2 linked regions of the Kluyveromyces lactis genome follow. The protein of the gene in region 1 purifies or fractionates together with the protein of each later gene. This does not show direct contact. Links are inferred from orthologs where the notes say so. Each region holds a gene or a part of one and is shown on either strand. Other genes may lie near its edges.

Region 1 (4,519 bases):
ATATATCTCATAAATATATATATATATATATTGGAACTTTTCGAATTAGAGTTTTTCATCAGCTTTTCAGTATTTTTTTTTCGTCAATTTGATTCAACGTTCCTTGTAAGAAGAAGAAGAGGAATTGATTCTTTCCTAGTTTCTTCTCTCACCAGGTTTAACTATCCATTAACGATGTCTTTCTCTGATTTCTCCAAGGTCGAAACCTTGCAAAAGTTGAACACTTTCTTGGCTGACAAGTCTTACATTGAAGGGTATGTGAAATAATTATAGTGGTGGTTTTCCAATGGCATCAAGCAGTTTTTTGAATAAGAGAATTCTTCAAAGTTTACTATTTCAATGATGAACAAATTCTTTGGTCCGTGTTTATGACGGGAAGTAAGACCCCCGGTATGAGTGACAAAGAGACAGTACCTAGACAGTACGATTCTGATTTATCTTTTTTATTGAATTCTCTTTTCAGCAAGCAAGCTTAGCTGCCATACAAAAAAATTTCATTTTTTTGTTCTTTCCATTTTACTAACTAACAATTGCATCAATATAGTACCTCTGCTACTCAAGCTGACGTCTCTGCTTTCAAGGCTTTCCAATCTACTTACCCAGAATTCTCTAGATGGTTCAACCACATTGCTTCCAAGGCTGATCAATTCGAATCCTTGCCAGCTGCTACTTCTACACCAGCTGCTGCTGAAGAAGAAGATGACGATGACGAAGTCGATTTGTTCGGTTCTGACGATGATGTCGATGAAGAAGCTGAACAATTGAAGGCTAAGAGAATCGCTGAATACAACGAAAAGAAGGCTGCTAAGCCAAAGGCTGCTGCTAAGTCTATCGTTACCTTGGATGTTAAGCCATGGGATGACGAAACCGATTTGGAAGAATTGGTTGCCAACGTTAAGAACATCGAAATGGATGGTTTGAACTGGGGTGCTCACCAATGGATTCCAATTGGTTTCGGTATCAAGAAGTTGCAAATTAACATGGTCATCGAAGATGCTAAGGTTTCTCTTGATGAATTGCAACAACTTATCGAAGAAGATGAAGACCACGTCCAATCTACTGATGTTGCTGCTATGCAAAAGTTGTAATTAAACTAATTTAAGTTCTTCACCTTTTTCCCCTTACATAAATGAATAAATAAATATACTATATTTCTCAACGACCCCCTTCGTGCTTTCTTGCTGGACCCGAACCCTTGCTGTCTCTTTTATCCTGTTATGTTCATCTTTCTTTTAGGTTTACAGCCTCTGAGCATCTTAAGAATAGAAATGTGCATAATATAAATGCATATAGATAATTAATTAAACATCATGCTGCATTTAAGGTAAAATATGAGAAAAAAAAACAGGAAAGGCAACAGAAGCCCTACGGTCTAAGTTCGGTTAAAACAGTTTTCGATTACCTGTTTGTCAATTGCCAGCAAGATTCAAGTTTCAAATGAATGGCTCTCATAGTACTGGCCACGATAAGAGAAACAACACAACCGATTTCGAAAAGTTTAATCCCTTTAAGAGCTCTCAGGATGAATCCCTGCATGTAAGCTGGACTTCATTGCAACAAGTGTATCCGAATTTATCATATTATGGGGGACCTACTTTCATTCTTCCGGTTCAGCTCTACTATATCATAGGTACGGCAAAGGGAGCCGTTGTTATCTTTAACAAGAAACAATTCGTTCAATCTGTACTAGCACCATCTTTACCAGATTTTAGATCCAAGGTAACATTTATCGATATAAATCAGGATGGTACCCATGTTTGCGCAGCCTATGAATCCGGTGATATATTCCTGTGGGACTTAAACTCTCAAGTCGATGAAAATTCCGATTCTAATCATCTAGAAGCCGTGCTGCATATTGCTTCTCATAGAGGACATTCCTTTAATGGTCTTAATTTTATCCCGGGGAAACATACCAATATTGCAGTCAGTGATTCTACAGGACATATTGTACTTCACAAGGGTACTAGAAATCATCTTTGGCAATTGGTACCTAGTGCAAAAGAAATCTTGAGGCTGAATCCAATGATAAACCCTTTATTGACTACGCGCATTCGAAGCAACGGTGAAGATTATGATGCTGAACATCTGTTAGCAGTTTTATCTAATCGATCCTTCGCAGTCATATCATTGTCATCGCCAACTTTATCAACTTATCGGCTCATTGAATTGTCACACAAAAACTCGGCCACTTTTGGATATATCTCCTGGAATGACGTCAATCCAAATCAGGTTGCCTTCTCTGTAGATAACCAGTTGAGCCTTGTCGATATCAGGTTTCCGACTTTACAATGGACGTACGAAGCTCCTGAATGCATTTGTAAAGTTGCCTGGCTCACAAATAACATTTTGACTATTTTGCTCTTGTCAAGTAAGCTTCTCGTTTTAAACATAGGTAGTGTTGATACCGATGAGGATCCTGTACTCACTAGTATTGACTTACTTATTCATGAACTGATGGTTCCAGAATCTGAGAACCATTTCGCTACGTTAAATAACACGATTGTTGTGCTCACCAATTACAGTTTAATGGTGGGGAAAATTAACTCATGGTCCGATATTGTCTTACACCATATACATAAAGGAGATTACATTAATGCATTAGGAACCCTAGGTTACTATTTACAAGGTCCATCATTCGATTCGATAACCGCCTTATTACATCTGGAAAAAGACTATCAGAAAAGAATCAGACAAATTGAACCATCGTTTAACAACTTGACACTAGCAACTGTTCAATTTTTACTGAAGAAAGATGATATAAGTTACAGTAAGGTCACTGAAGCTACATCATTGATTTTGGACTTGGGAAGTATTTTCTCAGATGAAAAGATGTATGTGCTTTTAGAACAGGTAGGGGAAGCTTTGATGACCAAACATAACGAAGAATTTCAAGAAATACTTTACGAAAAAATCGTTAACGGGACAGTAACATACCTCTCACCAATACTTTTCAAGGCTGTGATGGAATACACAGTGTCTTCAGGAAATGATAGAAGGTTAGAGACAATTTTATTATCGCTAGACGGTACAACTTTGGATTTGGATTATGCTTTCAAGGTTTGCAAAGAGTTTCGTCTCTACTCTGCACTTTTATATCTCTGGACAACCATTTTGGATGATTATAAAAGTCCCCTAGTGGATATAATATTTTACTTTGCTGGCAAAGAAGAATGTTGTGTAGTTTTTGATGCTAACATTGAAGATAATACCCTTTTCGAGTACATCGAATCAACTTTATTGGGAAAAGTTTATCCAACAGAAAAAAGAGTGCCTTCCAAAAAGATTCTATACCTAAAGAACTTTTATTACAGCTTACTTTTTAGTGGCTCTTCTTTGGAATGGCCACAAGGCTCTGGAAAAAAGCTTTTAACGTGTCCCCTACCAGCAGAAGAACCAGCCTTTCCATATGCTTCCCTTTTAATATCATCAAGTGCGCAAAATTTCTTGCACGTTCTTGATGTCTCATTTGAAGATGTTCTGTTCAATGAATCCCCTCAAAATGGATTTCATTTTACTAGACAACATATAATTGATGTTCTTTTGGACATACAGAAGAATTTCAAAGAAAATCATGTGAAACTTCTTATTGCCCTCTTTGTGTTCAACAATTTGCCAAAGTATTCTCAGTTTATTCGCCTAACCAACACTATCATTGACTCACAAATAGACGTCATATTATCTGCTGATTTGGAAGGATTTGAACAAATTTCTGAAGATTGTCTTGAAGCACTATTGTCTGTTTATTCACCAGATAATATTAACGCCCTAATTGATAAAATGTCAGGAGTGGATTTTTATCGTGTTCGGCTTCTGCTATATAAAAAGGCCGGAAGATATACAGATTATCTTACCTTTATTCTTAGCGATCAACACAGGAATACGAATGGCAATGATATTATTGCAGGTTTGAAACTATGTGATGGTGCTACAGCGAAATCGCCTATCGGTCGAAGTGAAATTTGCGACCTTCTATCAGATACATTTCCGAAGATTATCGAAAATTGTCAAGATCAGCGTTCCCTTGTCTCAATCATAGACTCTTTTGATAGTAGCTTACATGAAAAAATTCTTCTTATTTCTGATCCGTTGACGCTCTTAGGATATCTTCGTATACTTCTGTCTGGGAACTATCATCTATCTGCCCCATTTTTGAAGAAAGCAAGGCCGAAGTATCTATCATTGTTGTATGAAACCGGAGATGCGTCCGGTGTATCACAATGGGTTGACAATATTGACCTTAAAAACATCGAAGTTGAGAGTATTGTAGATATTATTAACGGAAATAGGGATTCGAGAACTTTGATACGATTGCTAGTACGGCTAAAGAACTATGGGTCGGCAATAGATAAAATAAACTCGAAAATCAACGAGTTATTACAAAATAATGATTTTGACGAAATTGATAATTATTTGGATTTAGGCATCAGTGTATCCCAGAAGACAGATGAAACTAACAAGAACTGGGTTAAATTGATATCAAACTTGGTCTCTCAATACCCAACTCTTACCGATGATCAAA
Region 2 (4,572 bases), about 580 kb from region 1:
ACTTTGCCAAACTAACAAAAGCAGAAGACAAAAGAGAGCAACTTCTGCAAAATAGCGAAATTGTGAGAAAGAGTTTAGAACAAAGCAACTTGGCTTCAACTGAAAAAGAACTTTTGCAAAAAGTCTGTTCCGGTTTGGCACCAGTCTCTGAATTGACAGCTTGATTACAAGCCAGATCGCCTATAGACAAGATTAACCTCTATTTTTCATGTATATATTTTCACAATGCACTTAATGATATATCACACTATTTCACAGTTCTAAACAACGTTCGATATTGTTTATATTCTGAGTACGATGCCTTAAAATTCCTTTCTTAATCTGTAGATTATATGTTGATTCGTCTTTTCGTCTGAGTAACGGAAATAGGAAACCCGATAACACTGATATTTGAATGGTTGGGGGTATTTTTTCCAAAATTTCTATAAGTAGCCCAGAGTCGTTTATACAACACGTATTCTTGTTAAGGAATTGACTAATGACCCTAGTATTGTTGAGACTTAGATAGTGATCGATAACTTTCAGCACTACCTTATCGTTGGCTTGTAACAAGGACTCCACCGTAGCAAAATCATTCCGTGATAAATATATATCAAGTAGTTTTTCGAACCCGATCTTTTCCTTTAATACACTGATATCTGTGATCATGATTCGTAGAACGAAAGAAGCATCGATATCATCAATAATAGAACCTTCTTTTATATTTAAAGCCTTTTCTATTTTCAGAAGCTTGGTCCCTACATCGAAGCAACCCTCATATTCCTTTTTCTCACCCAGCTTATTTTTCAAATACTCTTTGAAAGGAGACTTGTTATATGTCATGTTGGTAATGTACTCCGTAATTGGTAAATTGGAACTTTCTATTAGCTTGCTGTTCAAAACAGTAAGTTTAGCTTTATAGTACTCGTAAAGAAATGTCAAATCTTGGGTGGAACTCGCACCCAGTTTTTCAAGCAAGAGAACCTTTGTATCAGGGTCTTCGATGGATGAGATGAGTCTTTTCACATCTAAGTTTAAATTGTTTATTAATTGTAAAACGTCGCTTACAGTGTCATCGTTATAATCTTTCAAAGCTGATGAAATATCATCAGTCAGCATTTCTTTAGAGTAAGTATCGGGTAGCTCTTGGAAATGAGTATTCAGGTAATTTATGAGCCTTTTTTGATCTGTTTGTCTTAGTATTTCGAGCAATGGGGTCACTTCTTTTGTCTTTTCATATATGGCTATTAAAGTTTCTGAATGTTCTTTTTTATGCTTAGAAAGCTCTTTAGCAATTTCTTGGTAACTAGTCGCCTCGTATTCATCAACATTTGAACTGCCTTTAGCGATGTTATCACGTAATAGAATTAAATCGAGCGATAAATAAACGTTCGCACTATCTTTTAAGCTATCGGAACACGTTTCTTTTAGTTGAAATTTCAAGTATTGTATGATGTTCAGAACGTCATTACACTTGTGAACTAGCTTCAATGAATGCAATTTTTTTGAAAATGCTAATAACCCATTAGGAATCCACAAATCTCCGTAAATGTCGAAACCAAGTAGGTAAATTAATACTCTGATATCTGCAACATCAATATATTTGAGCCAGGCATCGATTAAATCTTTATCAATGTGTTCCATATGTAATGTTAACAGCAAGACATAAAGGAACTGCAAGTAGCTTTTTTGAAGAAGCTGGTAATTGCTTTGTGACTCTTCAGTGATGAAAGACTTCAAAATTGGAAGAGTATCTTCGCCATAGCTCGAAATGGTGAGTAGAAATGGCTTTCGGCATAAAGAATATATACCACATTTTCCGTAGATAATCATGTGGCATTCAACCGCAATTTGTCTGGCCACATATGCTTTTTCTTGTTCTTCTCGAAATTGGAGTTCTTCTGCAATTAAAGGGACATATCTTAGTTTTTCAATTAATTCTTTATTAAACTGTCTCGTTATGAAAGGAGTCTGCAACTTTGTAATATGAAACGGGGTTTGATTTCTAACATTTTGTATAACTACTGGGTCGTTGTTTTCTTTTATTAAATGAATTTGAAGGCATTTAGAACCATGTAATTCTGATAGCACATACAGATTATCAACTATAACTGTGAGTGGATAATTTTCTATAACCACGGTACCGTGAGTGATTTCTCCATCATCGTTTAATATAAGTCCCATACAGTTTTGGTCATTTGATATTCCACATGTGACGATATATTCACTTTTTCCAAAATTTGTCACAATTGGTGAGAGTTCCTCATCATCTGTCTCAGACACTTTGAATAAAGGAGTTACCAGCTCATTTTCAAGATGGATTATCGAGTAAGAGTTATCAACAGCTGCCATAAGGAGTTTTGCGTCTTTTGAAGGAATGGCCTTTCTAATTCTCTTGATGTTATACTTCTGTTCGACTTTTATCTCTTTGCTTGTTATGCTTACTCGCTTTACCAAGTTCTTCGTGTATAAGAAACACGAGTAACATTGTGTTTTCTCACAGAACTCCAAAAGTGAAAGTTCTGTTATATTCATAATACTTGGTATATTTGAAGCAGGTGCAAATTCAGGCAGGAGAAACATTTTGAGTCTCCCTTCGGACAACACTAAGGCTCTATCAATTTTCGGCAGTAGCGTTATGCCATCAATTCCTGTTGGTCTGTCTTCATTGAAGTTGACTTCCGAGATCAGTGTGAAATTTCCAACATCTAATTCATAATAGTGTAGTAACGCTCCTGAAGTCGAGCCCAGGTAGATGTGCTGACCATAATATTCGATACATGAGTACTCATATTCATGAGGCACATTCTCGATTAATGGTGAAACAGCATATAATCCATCGGTTACTTCAAAGGCAGTTGAAATGGGTTTCTCTTTAGTATCGTCATTCATAAGCCATCAATGCCACTGCTGTAATTAGTGAATTGAGGAATAAATGTTCTTAGCTGTATTATCTCTGGTTCGCAGATGATAGTCTCATTTAAGGAAGTGTGAATCTTAATAGTAGACTAGAACGTCCTTCGTCCACAATGATGAGAAGCTATATCATCTTTAATATACATATTTTAGAGCCAAACTATATAACGACTTGACTATACATACTCAATGCTTCATTAGCTTTAGAAGTAGTTGAGCACCCTTGTTTGAATCGTTCGTCTCTATTTTCTTGATCACTTTTTTCAAATCATGATCGAATTGTTCCCCTTCTTCAGTCCCATGTAAGGCTTCATACAATGCCACAATGGTAAAAGAACTGTTGGGTTTGTTGATCCAATCGAGTAGGTTGCTGGAATCAATGATGTCTTCATAAAATTTTTCAGCAAATGGAATACCAAGTCCCTGAACTTTTTCTAGAGGTTCTAGTTTTCTTGCTTTCACGTTGTATCTACCATTTTGAATGAGAGACTTTAGCAACCTTGCCGAAAATGGTTTGTTAATAGGGTGGTCTTCTTCTGAAATGTCACCTTTGAAATAAATGGCGACGGTGTCCACAAGCTCGGCAAACAACTTTTGATCAGACTCTGAAAGTTGTTCATAGACATCATCGTTAACGAGTAAATCTGCGACAAATTGAGAACCGATGTTTTCATCTAGAATGGTTTTGTAGTGTTCGTTTACGCCAGATAAAATCATTGGTGCGAACCTTTTTAATAATTCAAGTCTTCTTTGGTCAAATGGCTTCTTGGAAGTAGTTTCCGACATCTTAATGTATCTTTGTAGTTCATTCTTCATATTTGGACCGAAGTATTTACCATCTAATCCTAAAAGTAGGAATAAGAGCGGCCTCCTACCAAATTTATCAACAATCAATTCTGGAAGATGTTCCTTAATTGGTGGGGAAAATGCCTTGGAGACGAGAACAGTATCATCGACTGTCATTAATAAAGTTATGAAAACAACGGCACCGTGTTCATTTTGAATTAACTTGATTGCATGTTCTTTCAAGGTCTTTATCAACCCCTTTCTTTCTTTGGCATTTGCTTTAGCGATTAAAGTAGATGCAACTTCTGCACCTTCTGGGGTATGCACTAATTCCGCAAAGTTCTCTTCTAAAAGTTCGATGAACTCAGATGTTTCTTTATCGTTGGCGATTTTGACGTATTCCCTCATTGCTGCGTGTAAAATCTGGAAACCTGCCGAACCTTTTTCAACAGAAGCAGTGATGGTACCAATCAAGTTTCTAGCGATAATATTTCTCTTTTCTACGCTGGAAGCACAAACTTCTTCGAGCGTAAGTTCCTTATGAGATTCTCTGAATACGGCGTATTCTGAACCCCAAAATTCTCTGATCATTTGATTTCTTTGTTCTTGAGAGGCATAAAGAACAAACAAATCTTCGACCACATAGGCACCTTCACGGTGTCTCATTAGTTTTCTCAAATTACCATGTAGTTGATCGATTATGATTTGTCTAGATTTTCGGGAACCATAATGTAACAATTTAACCAACAAATATTTACCATATGATGATGTGGCCAAAACATAAATTTTATCTTTCAATGCCAACGTGATCTGTTCTCTGCGCTCTTTGGAAGAATATTTGACTAATGTCTGGACAATTCTGGATGCATCATGCTTCAATACTAAATCTTC

Evidence for each region.
Region 2: the proteins of VPS8 (region 1) and VPS3 purify together in Saccharomyces cerevisiae (affinity purification with western blotting; 6 studies listed by BioGRID, with this or other methods). This does not show direct contact. The link is inferred for Kluyveromyces lactis from reciprocal best matches to the Saccharomyces cerevisiae genes VPS8 and VPS3.

The regions. Positions count from the first base shown.
Region 1 is NC_006039.1:1,631,354-1,635,872, forward strand, and holds the start of VPS8 (CORVET complex membrane-binding subunit VPS8), read left to right. Parts: upstream 1-1,437; coding exon 1,438-4,519. Other genes in the region: EFB1 (translation elongation factor 1 subunit beta), read left to right, coding at 175-254, 545-1,088. UniProt on the Saccharomyces cerevisiae protein: Required for localization and recycling of the CPY sorting receptor (VPS10) to the late-Golgi compartment. Involved in the retention of proteins to the late-Golgi. Plays an integral role in the complex vacuolar protein sorting process.
Region 2 is NC_006039.1:1,049,611-1,054,182, reverse strand, and holds VPS3 (CORVET complex subunit VPS3), read right to left. Parts: upstream 2,872-4,572; coding exon 253-2,871; downstream 1-252. Other genes in the region: mitochondrial 37S ribosomal protein mS46 RSM28, read left to right, coding at 1-164; PUF6 (pumilio-family RNA binding domain-containing protein), read right to left, coding at 3,082-4,572. UniProt on the Saccharomyces cerevisiae protein: Required for sorting and processing of soluble vacuolar proteins, integrity of vacuolar morphology, efficient segregation of vacuolar material into the bud during the cell cycle, acidification of the vacuolar lumen, and assembly of the vacuolar H(+)-ATPase.